3 linked regions of the Anolis sagrei genome follow. The protein of the gene in region 1 binds, or shares a complex with, the protein of each later gene. Links are inferred from orthologs where the notes say so. Each region holds a gene or a part of one and is shown in the gene's direction. Other genes may lie near its edges. The genes, in order: IKBKG, IKBKB and CHUK.

What was found.
Region 2: the proteins of IKBKG (region 1) and IKBKB are in contact, whole or in part, in a crystal structure (PDB 3BRV), measured with the Homo sapiens proteins. The link is inferred for Anolis sagrei from reciprocal best matches to the Homo sapiens genes IKBKG and IKBKB. Residues at the interface, in NP_001093327.1 of Homo sapiens: Arg62, Ile65, Arg66, Asn69, Leu72, Arg73, Arg75, Cys76, Leu79, Phe82, Gln83, Gln86, Lys90, Leu93, Met94, Phe97, Ala100, Arg101, Val104; in NP_001547.1 of Homo sapiens: Ser705, Leu708, Glu711, Ala712, Leu715, Cys716, Leu718, Leu719, Ala722, Ile723, Asp725, Thr726, Glu729, Gln730, Gln732, Phe734, Leu737, Asp738, Trp739, Trp741.
Region 3: IKBKG (region 1) and CHUK share a complex: the UniProt entries of both Homo sapiens proteins name them as parts of the I-kappa-B-kinase (IKK) core complex. The link is inferred for Anolis sagrei from reciprocal best matches to the Homo sapiens genes IKBKG and CHUK.

The regions. Positions count from the first base shown.
Region 1 is NC_090022.1:174,520,555-174,528,067, reverse strand, and holds the start of IKBKG (NF-kappa-B essential modulator), read left to right. Parts: upstream 1-4,180; 5' UTR 4,181-4,285; intron 4,286-7,201; 5' UTR 7,202-7,212; coding exon 7,213-7,396; intron 7,397-7,513. UniProt on the Homo sapiens protein: Regulatory subunit of the IKK core complex which phosphorylates inhibitors of NF-kappa-B thus leading to the dissociation of the inhibitor/NF-kappa-B complex and ultimately the degradation of the inhibitor.
Region 2 is NC_090027.1:24,636,212-24,643,634, reverse strand, and holds the start of IKBKB (inhibitor of nuclear factor kappa-B kinase subunit beta), read left to right. Parts: upstream 1-4,210; 5' UTR 4,211-4,349; coding exon 4,350-4,463; intron 4,464-7,239; coding exon 7,240-7,334; intron 7,335-7,423.
Region 3 is NC_090023.1:141,577,511-141,585,121, forward strand, and holds the start of CHUK (inhibitor of nuclear factor kappa-B kinase subunit alpha), read left to right. Parts: upstream 1-4,304; 5' UTR 4,305-4,382; coding exon 4,383-4,508; intron 4,509-5,405; coding exon 5,406-5,500; intron 5,501-7,611. Other genes in the region: ERICH6B (glutamate-rich protein 6B), read left to right, coding at 673-900.

The DNA.
Region 1 (7,513 bases):
TTAATGTCAGGGGACTACCTTTACCTTTACCTTTTTAGGGTCGCTGCAAGTTAGAAATGACTGGAATAATGACAACAGCAATAATTCTGGCTTTCTCCCAAAACTGAAGCTCAAGGTGGTTAACAACATATTAAAAACAATGCAAGTTGAAAACAATTCAAAAGTTTGAATAAAAGGATAAATATATGAGTTGTTATAGGTTTTTTCGGGCTACATGGCCATCTTCTAGAGGCATTCTCTCCTGACATTTCGCCTGCATCTATGGCAAGCATCCTCAGAGGTAGTGAGGTCTGGACCACTCTAACAACCACCATGTCAGACTACACAGAGAAGCCATTGAAATGTGGGCAATTTCAACAGAAAAAAGAAAACCATGAAAATGAACAAAACCTAGCTACCAGTATTAAAAAACTCTAAAATTACAACAGCAAAACAACAGAGAGGAAACAATCTGGGACATCTAATCACCTCTCAACAAAAGATTGCCCCAGGCACTGCCAGGCCATCAAATGCTATTTTTATATGCTTTGATGTTTTATATCTAATGTTATGTTGTTTATTTTATTGCAATTTGTATTGTTATATTGTATTCTTGTTCGGGCTTGGCCCCATGTAAGCTGCTCCGAATCGCCTTTCGGGAGATGGTGGCGGGGTACAAATAAAGATGATGATGATGATGATTATTATTATTATTATAAACAAGCACCTTGGTATCCCTACGGATGTCCCGGTCCTTAAACACTCTCTGCTTCATTCGGAGAAATGCTGCATTCACAGAGCTCAGGCGGTGTTGTATTTCAGTGTCAATGTTGACTTTTGTGGAGAGGTGGCTGCCATGGTAGTGGAAATAGTCAACATTTTCTAATGTTACACCATTAAGTTGTATTTCTGGCATTGGAGAGGGATTGGCTAATGACTGCTGGAACAGCACTTTGGTTTCCTCGATGTTCAATGACAGGCCGAGAAGTGCGGGGAATACCCTTGCTTTAAGTATGCGGATCTTCGTTGCCAGTGTGATGTCTCTACTCTTCACTGTTTTATTGAGATTGGTCATTGCTCTCCTCCCAAGAAGTAAGTGTCTTCTGATTTCCTGGCTGCAGACTGCGTCTGAAGTAATCGTTAGGCCTAGAAATACAAAATTTGTCACTGCCTCCATGTTTTCTTTCTCTTTTTGTTGTTCATTCGTTCAGTCGTCTCCGACTCTTTGTGACCTCATGGACCAGCCCACGCCAGAGCTCCCTGTTGGCCGTCACCACCCCCAGCTCCTTTAAGGTCAGTCCCGTCACTTCAAGGATGCCATCCATCCATCTTGCCCTTGGTCGGCCCCTCTTCCTTTTGCCTTCCACTTTCCCCAGCATAATTGTCTTCTCTAGGCTTTGCTGTCTCCTCATGATGTGGCCAAAGTACTTCAGCTTTGTCTCTAGTATCCTTCCCTCCAGTGAGCAGTCGGGTTTTATTTCCTGGAGGATGGACTGGTTGGATCTTCTTGCAGTCCAAGGCACTCTCAGAACTTTCCTCCAACACCACAGCTCAAAAGCATCTATCTTCCTTCGCTCAGCCTTCCCTAAGGTCCAGCTCTCACATCCGTAGATTACTACAGGGAATACCATGGCTTTGACTAGGCGGATCTTTGTTGCCAGTGTGATGTCTCTACTCTTTACTATTTTATTGAGACTCGACATTGCTCTCCTCCCAAGAAGCATCTTCTGATTTCCTGGCCACAGTCTGCGTCTGCAGTAATCTTTGCACCTAGAAATACAAAGTCTGTCACGGCCTCCACATTTTCTCCCTCTATTTCCCAGTTGTCAATCATTCTTGTTGCCATAATCTTGGTTTTTTTGATGTTTAGCTGCAACACGGCTTTTGCGCTTTCTTCTTTCACCTTGATTAGAAGGCTCCTCAGCTCCTCCTCGCTTTCGGCCATCAGAGTGGTGTCATCTGCATATCTGAGGTTGTTAATGTTTCTTCCAGCAATTTTCACCCCAGCTTTGCATTCATCCAGCCCCACACATCCTTGCATGATGTGTTCTGCATACAAGTTAAAAAGGTTGGGTGAGAATATGCAGCCTTGCCGTACGCCTTTCCCAATCTTGAACCAGTCTGTTGTTCCGTGGTCAGTTCTGACTGTTGCTCCTTGGTCCTTGTACAGATTCCTCAGGAGAGAGACAAGGTGGCTTGGTATGCCCATCCCACCAAGAACTTGCCACAATTTATTATGATCCACACAGTCAAAGGCTTTAGAATAGTCAATGAAGTAGAAATAGATGTTTTTCTGAAACTCCCTGCCTTTCTCCATTATCCAGCGGATATTGGCAATCTGGTCTCTCCTTCCTCTGCCTTTTCTAAACCCAGCTTGAACATCTGGCAACTCTCGCTCCATGTATTGCTGGAGTCTTCCTTGCAGGATCTTGAGCATTACCTTACTGGCATGAGAAATAAGGGCCACTGTACGGAAGTTGGAGCAGTCTTTCGCATTTCCCTTTTTTGGTATGGGGATATAAGTTGATTTTTTCCAGTCTGATGGCCATTCTTGTGTTTTCCATATTTGCTGGCATATGGCATGCATCACCTTGACAGCATCATCTTTCAAGATTTTAAACAGTTCAGCTGGGATCCCGTCGTCGTCTCCTGCTGCCTTGTTGTTAGCAATGCTTCTTAAGGCCCATTCAACCTCACTCCTCAGGATATCTGGTTCTAATTCATTCACCACACCGTCAAAACTATCCTCGATATTATTATCCTTCCTATACAGATCTTCTGTATAGTCTCGCCACCTTCTCTTGATCTCTTCAGCTTCTGTTAGGTCCCTGCCATCTTTGTTTCTTATCATACCAATTTTTGCCTGAAATTTACCTCCAATGTTTCTAATTTTCTGGAAGAGGCCAGTTAATCGGTCTGCATAATTTAGTTGTTAGTGCTAATGTATTGTGTTTCATGTTGAATGGACGAACCCAGAGGGTGCTCACCAATGCTTCCTCTTCATCCTGGAAAGAAGTGACGAGCGGAGTGCCGCAGGGTTCTGTCCTGGGCCCGGTCCTGTTCAACATCTTTATTAATGACTTAGATGAAGGGTTAGAAGGCAGGATCATCAAGTTTGCAGACGACACCAAATTGGGAGGGATAGCCAATACTCCAGAGGACAGGAGCAGGATTCAAAACGATCTTGACAGATTAGAGAGATGGGCCAAAACTAACAAAATGAAGTTCAACAGTGACAAATGCAAGATACTCCACTTTGGCAGGAAAAACGAAATGCAAAGATACAGAATGGGGGATGCCTGGCTCGAGAGTAGTACGTGTGAAAAAGATCTTGGAGTCCTCGTGGACAACAAGTTAAACATGAGCCAACAATGTGATGTGGCGGCAAAAAAAGCCAATGGGATTTTGGCCTGCATCAATAGGAGTCTAGTGTCTAGATCTAGGGAAGTAATGCTACCCCTCTATTCTGTTTTGGTTAGACCACATCTGGAATATTGTGTCCAGTTGTGGGCACCACAATTCAAGAGAGATATTGACAAGCTGGAATGTGTCCAGAGGAGAGCAACTAAAATGATAAAAGGTCTAGAGAACAAGCCCTATGAGGAGCGGCTTAAGGAGCTGGGCATGTTTAGCCTGAAGAAGAGAAGGCTGAGAGGAGATATGATAGACATGTATAAATACGTGAGAAGAAGCCACAGGGAGGAGGGAGCAAGCTTGATTTCTGCTTCCCTGGAGACTAGGACGCAATGGAGCAATGGCTTCAAACTACAAGAGAGGAGATTCCATCTGAACATGAGGAAGAACTTCCTGACTGTGAGAGCCGTTCAGCAGTGGAACTCTCTGCCCCGGAGTGTGGTAGAGGCTCCTTCTTTGGAAGCTTTTAAACAGAGGCTGGATGGCCATCTGTCAGGGGTGATTTGAATTTAATATTCCTGCTTCTTGGCAGAATGGGGTTGGACTGGATGGCCCATGAGGTCTCTTCCAACTTTTTGATTCTATGATTCTATGTCCACACATTCCTTCTTTATTTCCTTCTTGGGGTGATTCCCTCTTCAATCCCGCCATGAAAGGCACTAAGGGGCTCCCCCTCCCAGCTCTAAGACCAGGCCCATTTTCTCGCCTTCGCTTTCCCTCTCTGAGTCTGGCCGTCTGCTGACGTCACTTCCGCCTCGGTCTTGCTCCTTTCGATTCCCGGAGTTGCTTTCTCTTTCTGGACGTCACTTCCGGATCAGACCAAAACAAGGTTCCAGGAAGGAGGAAGCGGGAGGAGACGGCGGCATTGGGCAGGCTGGCGTCGAAAGGAAAGGTGCGACTCTCTGTTTTTCGTAAAACTCAGGCGGTGAAAGGAGGGAATAGGAGCTGGGAAGGGGGTGTCAAAGACTGGGGACTGAGCCTGTGACTCCCGCCCGAAGGAGGTGTGCGGACAGGAGCCCTTCCTTCCTGCCCTAAAAGTGAAACTGAGGTGCCTGGGGTCCAAAAACTATAATATACATGGCATTTGGGAGCTCAAGAGGAGTGCAAAGTGGGCTAAGCCTGGCTGAGGTCTTCCTTTTCTGGGAGCAAGTCCAGAAATCCCTTCTTTGGCAGATGATAAGTTTGTTTGTAGAGACTACAACTCCCAGAATCCCCCCTTCGGTAGGGCAGATGGCTGTTCCCTCGGGGGATTCTGGGAGTTGTATCCCAAATTGTCCAGGCTCTCCCCCTAACACGACTCTGGGTGGAGAATCAATGGGAGTCTGACACTACTCCTGGGAGATGTAGTTTCATAGAGTCTTAGCCAACATTGGCTAAAACATATTATCAAACAGGCCTCATAAATAACACATTAAGCAGCTAAAATCTGTGTAAAAATATGTTGTTGTTGTTCATTCGTTCAGTCGTCTCCGACTCTTCGTGACCTCATGGACCATCCCACGCCAGAGCTCCCTGTCGGCCGTCACCACCCCCAGCTCCCTCAAGGTCAGTCCAGTCACTTCAAGGATGCCATCCATCCATCTTGCCCTTGGTCGGCCCCTCTTCCTTTTGCCTTCCACTTTCCCCAGCATAATTGTCTTCTCTAGGCTTTCCTGTCTCCTCATGATGTGGCCAAAGTACTTCAACTTTGTCTCTAGTATCTTTCCCTCCAGTGTAAAAATATAAAAGTATAAAAATGTCTCTCTCTTATAAGTTAAGGCAATTGCTGTCCTCATCATCATCATCTATATAAATAAAAATGTAATGTTCATTTGTGAAATTAACATAACTCAAAAACCACTGGATGAATTGACATCAAATTTGGACACAATACACGTATCGGGCCAGCCAGTGACCATCACTCATAAAACGCTAAAAAACACAGCAGAAGAGACTTAAAAAGCCAAAAAATTAAAAAAAATACATTACAACGCATGCACAAAACCACATATATCTACGCAAACACACATATATACATGCACATATAGACACACATTCACATACAAAGCACACATACACAGACTGAGCCAGGGGATGGCTAGTACAAGATAAAATCAATAAACTGTGCGGTTTACAACAGCACAGAAACATACAACATAAACTAGACCATTGCAATTAACCCAAATAGGTTACATAGTCTTTCCTTGTAGGATGTTAAAATTATCATTCAAATAAATACTCAGTGGTTCTCAACCTGTGGGTTCCCAGATGTTTTGGCCTTCAACTCCCAGAAATCCTAACAGCTGGTAAACTGACTGGAATTTCTGGGAATTGTAGGCCAAAACACCTGGGGTTGAGAACCACTACTCTAAAACTAAACAGAGGCTGGATGGCCATCTGTCAGGGGTGATTTGAATGTGATTTTCCTGCTTCTTGACGTGGTTGGACTGGATGGCCCACGAGGTCTCTTCCAACACAATTATTCTATGATTCTATGACTGTCTGTAGTTACATTTAGTACTTGTTGATAGGCTCCTCCTTATAATCCTTTGTATATATTACATTTTTGTTGTTAAAGAATATAGAGTGGTATCCATGAACCTCATTATGTGCCCACTCAAAAAAAATGCAATAACACTGTCATAAATTAGGCTGAGATGGTAGGTGGGTCATGATCACCCAGGAAGCTTTGTGGCTGGACTTATATATTATATATCTAGGTCTCTCTTGCATGTTACACGAATGGGTAGCTGTGGTCCACCAAATGCTGTAAGACTGCAGCTCCCATGAGACATAACTACTAGGTAGGGATGTTGAGAGTTGTAGTCCTTCAGCATCTGAAGAGTCACAAGCTATCTGTCCCACAATGTATTGTTGTTCATTTGTTCAGTTGTTTCCGACTCTTCGTGACCTCATGGACCACGCTAGAGCTCCCTGTCAGCCGTCACCACCCCCAGCTTCTTCAAGGTCAATCCAGTCACTTCAAGGATCCCATCCATCCATCTTGCCCTTGGTCGGCCCCTCTTCCTGTTTCCTTCCATTTCCCCCAGCATAATTGTCTTCTCTAAGCTTTCCTGTCTTCTCATGATATGAACAGAGTACTTCATCTTTGCCTCTACTGTCCTTCCCTCCAATGAGCAGTCAGGCTTTATTTTCTGAAGTATGGACTAGTTGGATCTTCTCGCGGTCCAAGGCACTCTCAGAACTTTCCTCCAGCACCACAGTTCAAAAGCATCTATCTTCCTTCGCTCAGACTTCCCTATGGTCCAGCTCTCACATCCGTAGGTGACTACATAGAATACCATTCCTTTAACAATTTATACAATTTATTCGCTACACTAAATCCAAGTGTCAGTGCTAGAAATCTATCCTTAGGCATCTTATGGGACACAAGAATTCAGTTTCTTTGTTTTCTCTTTATAATTGGCCATAGAAGGCTAGCTATCTCTGTGAATATGTATTTCTTACATATTTCAGCCCATGACCAGGAGGTTCATATTCAGTACTCCGCCATGTAAAACATACAAGAAGAAATATCTGTGATCAAGGGATAAAGTTTCAAACTTAAAATTTTCATAGACATGCTATTAAGTAATGCATCAGCCATTTTTGCTTGTATAGAGAAGGATTTAGATGTATGTGCTACTATCTACTATCTGATAGCCCAGTAAAAGTATTTTATAACCACAGAGAGAAATAAGGCAAAATCCTGCTGTTCCTCTCCTCTTATTCAAGAGCAATGGTCGATTGATGTTTATGTGACTGAATGAGCTAGGCTTTGCTCTGTGTGCATGTCCATCCCATTCTTCATCATGCTTTTTATTTCCAGGACCTGGATGAATGAGTGTAGGCCACGGTGGCTGGAGCTGTGACATGGTACAGCCAGGCGGGTGCCCCCACAGCGATTGCATCATGATGGGGGATGACTCTTCTCTTGGCAGAGATGGCCCCCTTCACCTGCCAGCTGAGCTGGCTGGACATGAAGCGGTGCAGCATATGCTGGCTGAGAACAGAGACCTCAAAGGTGAGGACACAATAGATGGGAGTTTTGGGACTATTCAGGTGGACTGATATAATGTTCACCAGTTGGTTTAGGCTTAATCCCAGATTCCCTCTGTGACTGTTTCTATGACTTGTGTAT
Region 2 (7,423 bases), on another chromosome or scaffold:
TGGATCTTCTCGCAGTCCAAGGCACTCTCAGAACCTTCCTCCAGCACCACAGTTCAAAAGCATCGATCTTCCTTCGCTCAGCCTTCCCTAAGGTCCAGCTCTCACATCCGTAGGTGACTACAGGGAATACCATGGCTTTGACTAGGCGGATCTTCTGCTCTATTATTATTATTATTATTATTATTATTATTATTATTATTTGCAAAATCTAGAAAATAAGCAGCAGATACAGAGTACTAAACAGCATTTAATCCATTAGATCAGTTTCTCAACCTGGGAGTTGAGATCGCGGGAGGGGGGGGGGGGTCACGAGGGAGTTTTTAGAGGGTTCACCAAAGATCATTAGAAAACATGTATTTCTGAGGGTCTTAGGAACCCCTTTGGCAGAGAAGGCTGAAGATCTCTCTGCCTGTCCTTCTGTTCTTTTTTGAAAACAGATGGGGAATCCTCCCACCAAAGCCCTCCTCTGCTGTGAGTGACTGGCCTCTCAGCTGGCCTCAAAACCAAGGGGAGGGTTGTTTTTAAATTTTCAAGCAGGGGAGGGGAGAGCAGGCATACCCAGCACATGGCAGCGTGGTGCGCATGTGCGAGCAAGGAAGAGCATGTGATGCTGGAGGGAGGCTTGCGCCAGTGAGTCCCTTCAAGGCATGGGGGTACTGTGTGAAAGGTTTGGCCCATTTCTATCGTTGGTGGGGTTCAGAAAGCTCTTTGATTGTAAGTGAACTATAAATCCCAGCAACTACAACTCCCAAAAGTCAAGGTCTATTTCCCCCAAACCCCACCAGTGTTCATATTTGGGCATATTGAGTATCCATGCGAAGCATGGTCCAGGTCTATCATTGTTTGGGTCCACAATGCTGTCTGGATGTAGGTGAACTACAACTCCAAAGCGCAAGGTAAATGCCCACCAAACCCTTCCAGTATTTTCTGTTGGTTGTGGGAGTTCTGTGTGCCAAGTTTGGTTCCATTCCATCTTTGGTGGAGTTCAGAATGCCCTCTGATTGTAGATTAACGATAAATCCCAACAACTACAACTTCCAAATGACAAAATCAATTCCCCCCAAACCCCACCAGGATTCAAATTTGGGCGTTCCAGGTATTTGTGCCAAATTTGGACCAGTGAATGAAAACATATCCTGTGTAGCAGATATTTACATTACAATTCATAAATAATTTTATGGCCATCCAGTCTCCTTACCAATCCTCCAAATGGAAACACCTTTTTTAGATGCAAAAAGGAAACTCCTGATATTGTGACAGAGAAGATGCCTTTTGAAACACAAAGTTGAATTGATTGTTGACATGGTTTGTGCATTAAAAGCATCCCATTGAAGCCTCTTTGCCTGTCTAGCAAAGCTTGACCTAATGGCCACATTATTAAGCACGGAAAAGGGGAAATTTTACCAAAGTGCGAAGGAGTGGGTAAGGTTGCAGGAAGATGTGATCCCATCTGGACATTGGAGTAGTTCTGCAACGGAAAATCCAGAGCAGAGGATAAATGTATGAGGGCATGCTTTCCTTAGGATGTTTTTGTGTTTGTGTAGTGAAGAGGATGAGAAAAAGAAATCACAGTAGTAATACTTTCTGCCTCATGCCAAGGATGCAAAACACAAATCTTAGACTTCTGTCTACGCATAAATTTTATCTATAAATAGAGCAGATGCTGCCCTCCTGTGGCTACATCATATCACAGGCCCAAACTACACTGCCCTATACTCGTCTCTGAATCCAGATGATCAGCTTTGAACAGGATTATATGGTACTGTTTTCACTGAACATTGAGAAAACCAAAGTACTCTTCCAGCAAGCACCAGCCAATCCCTCTGCAATGCCAGAAATACAGCTTAATGGTTTATTAAGTCAACATGGATTTATCAAAAACAAGTCATGCCAGACTAACCGGATCTCTTTTTTTGATAGAGTTACAAGCTGGGTAGATGCGGGGAATGCCGTGGATGAAGCATACCTGGATTTCAGTAAGGCCTTCGACAAGGTTCCCCATGACCTTCTGGCAAACAAACTATTCCAATGTGGGCTAGGCAACACTACGGTGAGGTGGATCTGTAATTGGTTAAATGGATGAACCCAGAGGGTGCTCACCAATGCTTGTTCAAGGAGCTCCACTGCCTGCCATTTATTTTCAGAGCCCAATTTAAGGTGCAGGTGCTTACCTACAAAGCCCTAAATGGTTTGGGACCATCCTACCTACGTGACCGTATCTCCATTTATGAACTCACGCACTCACTTCGGTCATCTGGAGAGGCCCTGCTCATGATTCCGCCAGCGTCGCAGGTGCGTTTGGTGGGGGACGCGAGACAGGGCCTTTTCTGTGGTGGCCCCTCGACTCTGGAACACCCTCCCCAAAGATCTTAGACAGGCCCTTACATTGGCAGTCTTCAGAAAGAACTTGAAGACCTGGCTGTTCCGATGTGCCTTTCCAGATTAGGAATCTCCAATAACAAGTCCCAGAAGCACTTTATTAGAACTAAGATTGCTGCACACCGCACACTGCACTTACCCTATAATCCTTACATATCACCTGTCACATCAGCACTTTTAATTCTGTACCCATTACTCTGGCCCGGCCCAGTTTTATAGTGTCTTGATGTATTGTTTATTGCTTGTTGTTTAATATTGCTTTTATTGTTTTTAATTTGCTTTAGGTGTTGTATTGTTGTGTTGTGTTTTGAGGCCTTGGCCTTTGTAAGCCGCATCAATTCAATTCCATCTCTGGTGGAGTTCAGAATGCTCTTTGATTGTAGGTGAACTATAAATCCCAGCAACTACAACTCCCAAATGACAAAATCATTCCCCCATCCAACCCCACCAGTATTCAAATGTGGATATTTTTGCCAACTTTGTTCCAGTTAATGAATGAAAACACACACTGCATATCAGATATGTTTTCACATTGTGATTAATAACAATAGCAAAATTACAAAATGTATGAAGTAGCAATGAAAATAATGTTATGGTTGTCGAAGGCTTTCATGGCTGGAATCACTAGGTTCTTGTGGGTTTTTTCGGGCTATAGGGCCATGTTCCAGAGGCATTCTCTCCTGACGTTTCGCCTGCATCTATGGCAAGCATCCTCAGAGGTAGTGAGGTCTGTTGGAAATAGGACAATGGGTTTATATATCTGTGGAATGGCTGGGGTGGGGCAAAGAGCTCTTCTCTGCTGGAGCTAGGTGTGAATGTTTCAACTGGCCACCTTCATTAGCATTTGAAGGCCTGCCTGAGCCTGGGAAAATCTTTTGTTGAGAGGTGTTAAGATGTGCCTGGTTGTTTCCTCATGTTATAGTAAAGAGTAGAGACATCAGACTGGCAACAAAGATCCGCCTAGTCAAAGCCATGGTATTCCCTGTAGTAATCTATGGATGTGAGAGCTGGACCTTAGGGAAGGCTGAGCGAAGGAAGATCGATGCTTTTGAGCTGTGGTGTTGGAGGAAAGTTCTGAGAGTGCCTTGGACTGCGAGAAGATCCAACCAGTCCATCCTCCAGGAAATAAAGCCCGACTGCTCACTGGAGGGAAGGATACTAGAGACAAAGCTGAAGTACTTTGGCCACATCATTAGGAGACAGCAAAGCCTGGAGAAGACAATTATGCTGGGGAAAGTGGAAGGCAAAAGGAAGAGGGACCGACCAAGGGCAAGATGGATGGATGGCATCCTTGAAGTGACTGGACTGACCTTGAAGGAGCTGGGGGTGGTGACGGCCGACAGGGAGCTCTGGCGTGGGCTGGCCCATGAGGTCACGAAGAGTCGGAGACGACTGAACAAATGAACAACAACAATGGTTCTCAACTTTCCTAATCCTGCGACCCCTCAATACAGTTCCTCATGTTGTGGTGGTGGTGGGGGGGGTCACCCTATATACATCTCCTGTCACATCAGCACTTTTAATCTTGTACCCATTACTCTGGCCCGGCCCAGTTTTATTGTGTTTAGTGTATTGTGCCTGTTGTTTATTTTGCTTTATTCTGTTTTTAATTGTTTGATTTGCTTAGATTGTATTGTTGTGTTGTGTGTTGAGGCCTTGGCCTGTGTAAGCCGCATCGAATCCTTCGGGAGATGCTAGCGGGGTACAAACAAAGTTTAATAATAATAATAATAATAATAATAATAATAATAATAACCACTGATCTATTTGTTTTTCTTTTTTTTTAATGCTGCGGTCCCTTTAAGGCGCGGCCTAGTCTTTTTCTCCCTCGGGGCCCGCCTCCCTTTTCCTGAAGACGCGGAAGGAGAGCGGCGCGGCCTAGTCCTGCTGCTGAGGGAGGAAACAGAAGCAGGAGGAGGAAGGGGGGTTGTATTCGGTGTCCCCGTGAGGAGAAGCCGGGCTGGTTTGCGATGGCGCCTCCGCCTCCTCCACCGCTCCAGCCCACGGCCTCCTGCGGGGCTTGGGAGATGCGCGAACGGCTCGGCACCGGGGGCTTCGGCAACGTCATCCGCTGGCAGCACAAAGTGAGTCAGGGAGGGAGGGAGGGAGGGCCAGAGGGGCGTGGCTTGCGGCTGAGACTTCAACTCCCAGAATGCTGGCTGAGTCTTCTGGGAGCTGGAGTCCACATCCCTCTGTAAGGCCAAAGTTACCCCAATACCCCCATGCAGATGGGACATAGGAAGCACTAGCTGTCCCCTGCCATGCGTTGCTGTGGCCCAGACTGGTGATCTGGAAAATTATGCAATTTTCAAATGCAAATCAAGGTGATCAGCTGAAACATCCACAGCTAGCCCCAGCAAACAAAAGTCCTTTGTCACACCCTGGTCATTCCACAGATATATAAACCTAGTTTTTCCTACTTCCAACAGACCTCTTTACCTCTGAGGATGCTTGCCATAGATGCAGGCGAAACGTCAGGAGAAAAATTGCCTCCAGAACATGGCCATATAGCCCGGAAAAACCTACAGCAACCCAGTGATTCCGGCCATGAAAGCCTTCGACAATACATGGAAAATTATTATTATTATTATTAATTGTTAACTATATTTATACCCTGCAAAATCTCCCGAAGGACTCGATGCGGCTTATAAAGGCCAAGGCTGCAACAAACAACAACATACAAATATAACAATAAAACTCATAAGCAAACAATAAAACATCAAGCAAAGACAATAAAACACTAAAAACAATGACACCATGATGCATTTAAAATCTAGAAGGCCGGGCCAAATGTAATGGACAAAATTTAAAAGTGCTGAACTTGACAGGAGGTATGTAACGATTTTTGGAGGTAGGTGCAATGTGCAGACAATCCTGGTCTCTAACAAAGTGCGTTTGGGACATGATGCCGGGAGTTTCCTATTCTGGAAAGGCACACTGGAACAGCCAGGTCTTCAGGCTCTTCCTAAAGATTGTCAAAGTTGGGGCTTGTCTGATGTTCTTGGGGAGAGAGTTCCAGAGTCGGGGGGCCACCACAGAGAAGGCCCCGTCCCTCGTCCCCACCAAACGCGCTTGAGACGCAGGTGGGATCGTGAGCAGGGCCTCTCCAGATGATCGAAGGGAACATGTGGGTTCATATATGGAGATGCGGTCACGCAGGTAGGCGGGTCCCAAACCGTTTAGGGCTTTGTAGGTGAGCACCTGCACCTGAAATTGGGACCGGAAGATGAACGGTAACCAATGGAGCTCTTTAAACAGGAGGGTTAACCTCTTTCTGTAAGGAGCGACAGTTAACAGCCTGGCCGCCGCCCGTTGGACCAGTTGAAATTTCCGAGCCATTTTCAAGGGCAGTCCCACGTAGAGTGCATTACAGTAGTCCAATCTAGAGGTGACCAAGGCATGGACCACCCCAGCCAGATCAGCCTTTACGAGGTACAGTCTCAGTTGGCGCACAAGTCTCAATTGTGCAAAAGCCCTCCCGGACACCGCCGACGCCTGAGCCTCAAGCGTAAGTGATGAATCCAAGAGGACACCCAAACTGCGGACCTGTGACTTCAGGGGGAGTGTAACCCCGTCTAGCACAGGTTGCCACCCTATACCCCAATCCGGTTTATGATCGACCAGGAGGACCTCTGTCTTGTCGGGATTGATCTTCAGCTTGTTCATCCTCATCCAGTAATGGTTTCGAATTTATGTAATTCTTTTATTTGTGAACATCCTGTGGCTCCTCCATGATGACATGATGGCAACAGTCTTGGATAGCAACGGCTTCCAAAGTGACCCATTTAAGGTGGAATCAGGCGTCAAACAGGGATGTGTTATTGTCCCAACTTTATTCTCCATCTTCATCGCTATACTTCATCTTGTTGATAGGAAGCTTCCCACCGGAGTGGAAATAATCTATAATCAGACAGATGGCAAGCTGTTTAACCTCAGCAGACTGAAAGCCAAAACCAAGGTTACAACAACATCTGTTACAGAACTCCAGTATGCTTGTGACAATGTCGTCTGTGCACATTCAGAAGAAGATCTACAAGCCACTCTAAACACCTTCGCAGAAGCATACACGAAGCTCGGCCTGTCACTGAACATCAAAAAAACCAAAGTACTGTTCCAGCAGTTTCCTGCCAACCCCTCTCCAATGCCAGAGATACAGCTTAATGGTGTAACATTAGAAAATGTTGACCAACACCACCTGAGCTCTGCGAGTGCAGCATTTTTCTGAATGAAGCAGACAGTGTTTGAGGACCGGGACATCCATAGGGATACCAAGGTGCTTGTTTATAGAGCTATTGTCCTCCCAACCCTGGTATATGCCTGCGAAACGTGGACTGTCTACAGACATCACATGCAACTCCTGGAACGATTCCATCAGCGCTGCCTCTGGAAAATCCTGCAAATATCTTGGGAAGACAAGCGGACAAACGTCAGTGTGCTGGAAGAAGCAAAGACCACCAGCACTGAAGCGATGGTCCTCCGCCATCAACTCCACTGGACTGCCAATGTTGTCCGGATGCCCGACCACTGTCTCCCGAAGCTCCCACAACTCCCACAATTCCTAACAGTCGGTAAACACTATCAAAACACACACAACAACACTATCAAAACACATACAAGATACACATTAAAAAGACTAAATGCATAATGAAATTCTCGATTTAAAATGGACTTGTCGACGTTCCTCTCATAATCCCCTGCTACTTGTCCTTTTCAGAATATCGTTTTTGCCCTTTCCAAAATCTCCTTGCAAGAACAACTCCCTGAAGGCTCCAAAAGCATTTATTTGTCAGGTTTTGGGAGGCAGTTTTGAGAATCAGTGTGCTGCGTTCATCACATTGTTGGCATCTTATTTTCGTACAGGAAACGGGGGAGCAGATTGCAATCAAACAGTGTCGCCAGGAGCTCAGCCTCCGCAACCGAGAACGGTGGTGTTTGGAAATCCAGATCATGAAACGGTGAGGAGCCGGGCAGGGAAGCCGGGGGTTGCGGAAGGAAAGCATCCTGCGAATGGGCCTTTCTTGGACCCCATAAAACTTGAGCCCTC
Region 3 (7,611 bases), on another chromosome or scaffold:
ACAGAGCGAAGGAAGGAAGGAAAGAGAAAGAAGAAAGGAGACAAAGAGGAAGGAAAAAAGGGAGGAGGAAGGAAAGAGGTACAGAAGGAAGGAGGAGAGAAGGAAAGAAAAAAGGGAAGCGAGGAAAGACGCAGCAAAGGAAAAAGAGAAAGAAGGAGAGAAAGACGCAGGGAAGAAAAGAAATAAGGAGAAGGAAGGATGAAAGCAAACAGCTAAGGAAGGAAGTAACCAGGTAGAGAAGGAAGAAAGGAAAGAAGAAAACGGAATGAAGGAAGGAGTGAAAGAAGCAGAGAAAGAGGGAGAGAAGGCTGGCCACAGCAACGCGTGGCAGGAAAAGCTAGTAGTCTATGAAGAAAAACATAAACTACATTTGGGGACTCTGATCACTCACACACATATTTCTATATCTTTGAAGGAAAAATACACATGTATAATGAACATTCCTTCAGCTTTTCATCAGTATGTACCAAATTGCATCTATCTCTGGCCACAGTTCTGGATTCTGCATTTCATTATTATAATATCTGAGCTCATATATCAATCCAGGAGTGTTTCCAGATTGTTAATATATAATATATGAAGCAGAATTTCTATATGTGAAAATTTTAGTGAAAATGATTAACTTGGTTAAAATAATGATGAAACATTAACACTTGTCTGTGACTTTTGCAGTTGAAAGATCCAAACATGCTTCCATTACTTAAACATCGTGAAACTGTGAGAGAACGAAGCAAGATTCTGAAGATCAGAGAGCTCTTAACAAACTGCCAGAAAATACTGAAAACACTGCACACTGTTCCACCTGAAGAAATTGATGACCTGTGTCAAGTCGTAACAGAACTGCGTGGCCTAGCCCACCAGCGACATAAAAAGACGGTTAGATTTAAACAAAAAAAATGAGGCACAAATCTGTTGAATAAAGAAAAGAAAAAGTCTCCTTTGGTGTGCAGCCTTTCAAGTAAACAAACTTGATGACTGCTCTGTATTCCACTGGGTCCATTATCAAACCTCACATCATTTCAGCACCTGTCAAATCAAGATTTTTCTCAGTTCCGAGTTGTAAATTGGCACGTAACCTATAGAGACTGATATCATTACACATGTGCAGTTTCAGCATCCTGTGATAAATAGAAGTGGGTCAGAGGAAATCTTTAATGCATGCTCATATCAGAATAATTAATATTCATTTATTTATTTATTATTTATTTCGAGGTTTTATATACCGACCCTCTCACCTTCAAAGAGGGATTCGGACCGGTTCACAACATGTGTTAACATACAAAGAATATACAATAACAACACAATGCCACTTCATTACACGGTTAAAATATCAGCACTATACATGTTAAAACATTATCATCACAGTTAAAAGAGCCAAATCATCCGACACCATCACAATACCATTCATCATCCTCCTTTCATGTGGGCAAAGAATTAAATCAGTTGTCAAATGCCGCGTTCCACAACCAGGTCTTTGTTAGTTTCCTAAACGTCATGAGGGAGGGGGCAGTTCTGATCTCTAATGGCAGGGAGTTCCAGAGTCGAGGGGCCACCATCGAGAAGGCCCTGTCCCTCGTCCCCACCAGCCGTGCCTGTGAAGGTGGAGGGACTGAGAGCAGGGCCCCTCCAGATGATCTTAGTGGTCTTGATGGTTCGTAGGGGAGAATACATTTGGAGAGTATTCAGTATGAATATATGTCCCATGGGTGGTGGATGCATGTAGAGAGGTATAAAAATATATGCTGAATTGTTTAACTGATTTATTGTATTTATTTATTGTGTGAGAGAGACTGGATGCTAAAATGCTTTTTAAAATCTATGGGCCCCTCTTCTTTCCTTGTTCTTTCCCCCCAAGGTGGAATACAAGATCGGTAGCACACTATAAAAAAGTTGGCACCTAATAACGTTCATGTATATGATTATCTGCGTATTTGTTCTAGTAGTATTCTCTCCTGATTTTTCACCTGCATCTGTGGCAGGCATTCTCCAAAGGTTTGCTCAAAGGTCTGTGGAAATGAGGCATGTGGGGTGTACATATATCTGTGTAATGTCCAGGGTGGGAGAAAGAACTCTTGTCGTTTGAGCCAAGTATGAATGTTGCAATTGTCCACCTTGATTAGCATCGAAACGCCTTGCAGCTGTAATCTTGATTAGCAATTGGGTAGCCTTGCAGCTGAAAAGCCTGGCTATTGTTGCCTGGGAGCATTCTTTGTTTGGGAGGTGTTAACTGGCACTTGATTGTTGGCTGGCTGAAATTCCCGTTTCTGAGTGTTGTTCTTTATTTGCTGACTTGATTCTGGTATTTAGGAATACCAGTAGCCAGATTTTGTTCATTTTTATGTTTTTCTCCTTTCAGTTGAAATTGTCCACATACTTGTGGATTTCAATGGCTTCTCTGTATAGTCTGATTATGGTGGTTGTCAGAGTGGTCCAACATTTCTGTGTTTTCACATAATATTCTGTGCCCAGCTTGGTTTATCATGTGTTCTGCTATGATTGATTTCTCTTACTGAAGTAGTCTGCAGTGCCTTTCATGTTCCTTGATTCGTGTTTGGGCAATGCTGCATTTGGTGGTCCCTCTGTAGACATGTCCACAGCTGCATGGTATCCGGTAGACTCCTGCAGAGGTGAGAGGATCCCTTTTGTCCTTTACTGAACATAGCTTTTGTTGGATTTTCTTGGAAGGGCCTATAGATTGATTGGAAGTTATGTTTCTTCATTAATTTCCCTATGCAGTCAGTGGTTCCCTTGATGTATGGTAAGAATATTTTTATATTTTTCCTAGGTGGACTTTATTCTCAAGCTGGTGCCCCCCCCCCCCCAGAACTTTTCCCCCAGGGAGATTAGAGTAACACCCACCCTGTCCACCTTCCGAAAATACCCGAAAACTTTGATGTTGCAATGTGCCTTTGACTAACCGGTTCATCTATTGACTAGGCCCCTCTAGCTCTAACTTATTGTCCGGCTTTGTAGCACTTTATTACTCGCCCCTACAGCTCTGTTGCATTAGCCCTTGCTAGTGCCCTCCTAGATCTGAACACGCCCATTCTTCTCAGCTACTGCTTGATGGTTATTGATGTTCTTATGTTTTCATGATGTTTGTTGTTAGGTTTCATTGTTTTAATTATTTACATTTATTTATCATATCAGAAGTGAACCGAGGGTACAGTTGTAATGTATTTAAAAACACAAACAAAATTTAATTATTGAAATTCAATGTATTTTAATTGTGCTATATCTTAACTTCTGTTTTTGCTGGGCCTGGTCCCCATGGAAGCCACCTAGAATCCCTTTGGGGAGATGGTGGCGGGATATAAGAATAAAATTATTATTATTATTATTATTATTTGCTAATCAAGGTATCCAATTGCAACAGTCACACTTGCTTCAAAAAAACAACAAGTGTTCTTTCTCCCACCCTGGACATTCCTCAGCAGAGGCGGCCCTAGGTAATTTTCAACGGTAAGCAAACAGTATTTTGGTGCCCCCCCCCCCCACCAACCAATCATTGATATATATTTTCTGTTCGTCATGGGAGTTCTGTGTGCCATATATGGTTCAATTCCATCATTGGTGGAGTTCAGAATGCTCTTTAATTTTAGGTGAACTATACATCCCAGTAACTTGCATTTGTCAAGGTCTATTTTCCCCAAGAGCGCCTCAAGAGTGCCCCTGGGCAAAATCAACTATACTGCAAATGCTTACTTTGCGTGATGGGTTGAGCCGCCCCTGTTCCTCAGATATATAAAGCTCACTTGCCTAGTTTCCAACAGACCTCACAACTGGGTTGTCGTAGGTTATTTCGGGCTATATGGCCATGTTCTTGAAGCATTCTCTCCTGACGTTTCGCTTGCATCTATGGCAAGCATCCTCAGAGGTTGTGAGGTCGTAACCTCTGAGGATGCTTGCCATAGATGCAGGCGAAACGTCAGGAGAGAGTGCTTCTAGAACATAGCTATATAGCTCGAAATAACCTACAACAACCCAGTGACTCTAGACATGAAAGCCTTCGACAATACACAGACCTCACAGGATGCCTGCTACAGATGTGGGCGAAGAGTCAGGAGACAGTGCTGCTGGAACATGGCCAGACAGCCTGGAAAACTCGCAGCAACCTAATGCTTCCGGCCTATCTTGTTCCTGTCTTAAGGGTTGCTTGTATATTCTCCAGCCATTCCCACCTGCCTTCCAGAATCAAGAAACTCAATACCGATTGCGCAAGGGCTGTCTACCTTCTCTCCCTCTCTCTGCGCGCATCTCCCGGAAGGGGAAGAGCCCACACCCTGAGGCCACTTCCGCTCCCGTCCCAGGTCTCGCGAGAGCTGGCTGGCTGGCTGCCCTGGGGATCCGCGGCTGGCCCAGGCAGGCGGGCGGGGGGGCGGATGGAGGGTCTGCCGGCGGGGCCGGGGCGCGGGGGCCCTCCGGGAATGGCGGCCTGCGAGCCCTGGGAGGTGCGGGAGCGGCTCGGCACCGGCGGCTTCGGCAACGTCTCCCTCTACCAGCACCGGGTGGGTCGCCGGGGTCGCAAACTTGGCGGGGGTTTCGCCCTTGGGTTGTGGTCATTGGAGGACGGGGCTCCTCAGCCTTTGACTGACTTGAGGGCCCTGCTCCTGGCTTGTGCCATGAGTGCTGGGTTTGGTGGGGAAGGAGGGAGGAAAAAGGAAAGAAAGGACACATTCCAGCTTGACAATATCTCTCTTCTGGGCACCACAATTGAAGGGAGATGTTGACAAGCTGGAATATGTTGAGAATAGGGCGACTAAAATGATTAAGGGTCTGGAGAACAAGCCCTATGAGGAGCGGCTGAAAGAGCTGAGCATGTCTAGCCTGAAGGCCGAGAGGAGACATTATAGCCATGTATAAAGGTGTGAGAGGAAGTCATAGGGAGGAGGGAGCAAGCGAGACTAGGATGCGGAACAATGGCTTCAAACTACAAGAAAGGAAATTCCACCTGAGCACTAGGAAGAACTTCCTGACTGTGAGAGCTGTTCACCAGTGGAACTCTCTGCCCCGCAGTGTGGTGGAGACCTCCTTTGGAAGCTTTTAAACAGAGGCTGGATGGCCATCTGTTGGGGGTGCTTTGAATGCAGTTTTCCTGCTTCTTGGCAGGGGGTTGGACTGGATGGCCCATGAGGTCTCTTCCAACTCTATGATTCTAAGGGAAGGCGGTGCAGCGATGGCAAAGGGGAAGCAGAAGACGGTAAATGCTTCTTCTCTGGGTTGATGAGGCCGTGGACAGGGATGTCACCCTGGCAGAGAGTGAGTACTTCATCACACTAGAGAACGAATCCACTTTAAATCCAGTTTCTGCCTCCTGCAGAATTCTGGGGTTTGTGGTTCAGGGAGGCTGTTAAAGGCAGTGATTTTTGTGGTGATCTGTTTTAATTCTTTCTTCTGCAAGACAGGATTTAGGTACAAAGTTAGCAATCAAGTCTTGTCGTCTGGAACTAAGTGTGAAAAACAAAGATCGGTGGTGCCATGAAATCCAGATCATGAAGAAGTAAGTTCTCACTTTGTTTTTCCAACACATTTTTGTTTATGTCTATGTGGCTGGCATGCCCTTTTATTAGTCCCAACTACATGCTGATGGTGGTGGTGATAATGCTGATAATGAGACTCATTATCAGCCATTCAGTCAGTTGTTGAATGATGAGCCGATGCATTGGTAAATCGAATTAATTCAGTGAATCAACTAATCAGCACAAGTGGGGGGGGGGGGGCTATTTAGACAGATACCAATTGTACAAGTTTGATTTCATTTAGAAATGTGTTAACCAAAATGGAACAATATTATACAATTTTGAAAAATACTTCTATATATACACCTTACTTCTATATACACCATCTGAATAAATTACAATATACATATTTTAAAATAAATTTTCTTAAGATGTTTCAAGAACATTGCCCCCCAAATATATATATATATATTATACGCACACATATACACACACACACTAAAATATAATAAAGGGGAAATGTAAGAGCTGTTTTTAAAATTGCTTCCAGCACAATGAAGTGCATTTTATTTTTTTCTTGAAGTTTTTAATCAAACTGTTTTCTGTGTTAGTAGAAAACCAATATCGCTGGAGGTGAAAACAAAAGTCTGTTTAGGTATACAGTAGATCTCCGTATTTGTTGCTTCAAAAAGTATACATGTATGTACTGAAATGGAATAATATATGAGGTATATATAATATATAACTTGTATATATAATATATACAAGTTCATAAATACTTTTAAGAACCATTACTCAACTCATAACTTCTGTCATAAGAATTGGCTGGTACAGAAACATTGGGTGAAAAAAGTGATAGTTACGTAAAGGGTGCACTTTACACCATCACTCTCACCTTGGATTCACATTGTACAGGTGCACTTGTGCCTGCATGATTTGCAGAGAGGATGTGGCGAAGGCAGAAGACTGTTTGCACTGTTTTTGGCACAACTATAAGAATGCCTTGTCATGTAAATGCATGTCACGCTGTTGACATACTGTTGTTCACGGCCAGCCCCATGAGTGACCTCTAGTCACCCTTTTATGAATTCAAGTCTTACAGATTGATAGTGTTTCATGATCTACACAATCAGAAATTTTGCTATAATTTGGAAAGCAGATGCTGAAATTCTTTGGTGTATGCCATTATCTAACATGTTTACAATGTGATCCCTGATGCCTCTGTTCAGGGGAGCCTTTTCTAGGCAAGAACATTCCAGAAAATCTTCACATTTATCTGTGGTCCACATATCTGACACTCAGTCCTCTTTACCAACAGGCCAGAGGCTCCATCATGTGATGAGACAGCATATTCAACTATTCTAACCATCAGGAAATTCCTCCATATTTAGGTGGAATTTCAATTCCCCTCCAATTTCAATCCATTGCTCTATGCCGTAGTCTCTAGAGCAGTTGAAAACGAGCTTGATCTCTCCCAGTATGGACATCCTTTCAAAAATGCTAACGTTCTGATCTTGTCCTCTGAAGTATTAGGTATCCATCCTAATTTGGTTGGAAGACAAACTTTGCCAAGAACATCAGGTCCAACAAGTTTCTCACTTGCCTTGCAGACAGCGTCATGGTCCAAAAGGTGGAAGAAGCAACAAGGGAATCAGTTATTTTAGATTTGATCCTAACCAACAGTGATGACAGGGTAAATGGGATAGAGATAGTGGATTCCTTAAGTGGGAGTAACCATGTTCTTCTAGAGTTTGTTATACAGCAGAAAGGGGGAATGAAGCATGGTTAACATGCATTCTAGACTTTAAGAAAGCTGACTTCAGTAAACTGTAGAAGAAAACCAAGTGCAAGTCCATGGTTAGGAATACTGAAAGAGAACGGCGTTCCCCCCCAGCCACCAATGGCTCGTCTTTGCTTTGCACCACAGTTTTTAAGGGAAAACCCGATCTATACCAGAACCTTGTTTTTCCAAGTGGTCTTGTCATCAGTTTCCATTCCAGGTCCTGATAGAATTCAGCTTTCCCCTTTGTCAACCAAATTTGTATTCTTGGCTAGAGCTTGATAGATTTGTATTTTCCTCAGATATCTTTTAAATCTAATTATAACATCTCTCATCAAGCTCATAGTGGGTGGTGATCTAAATATTCTTCCA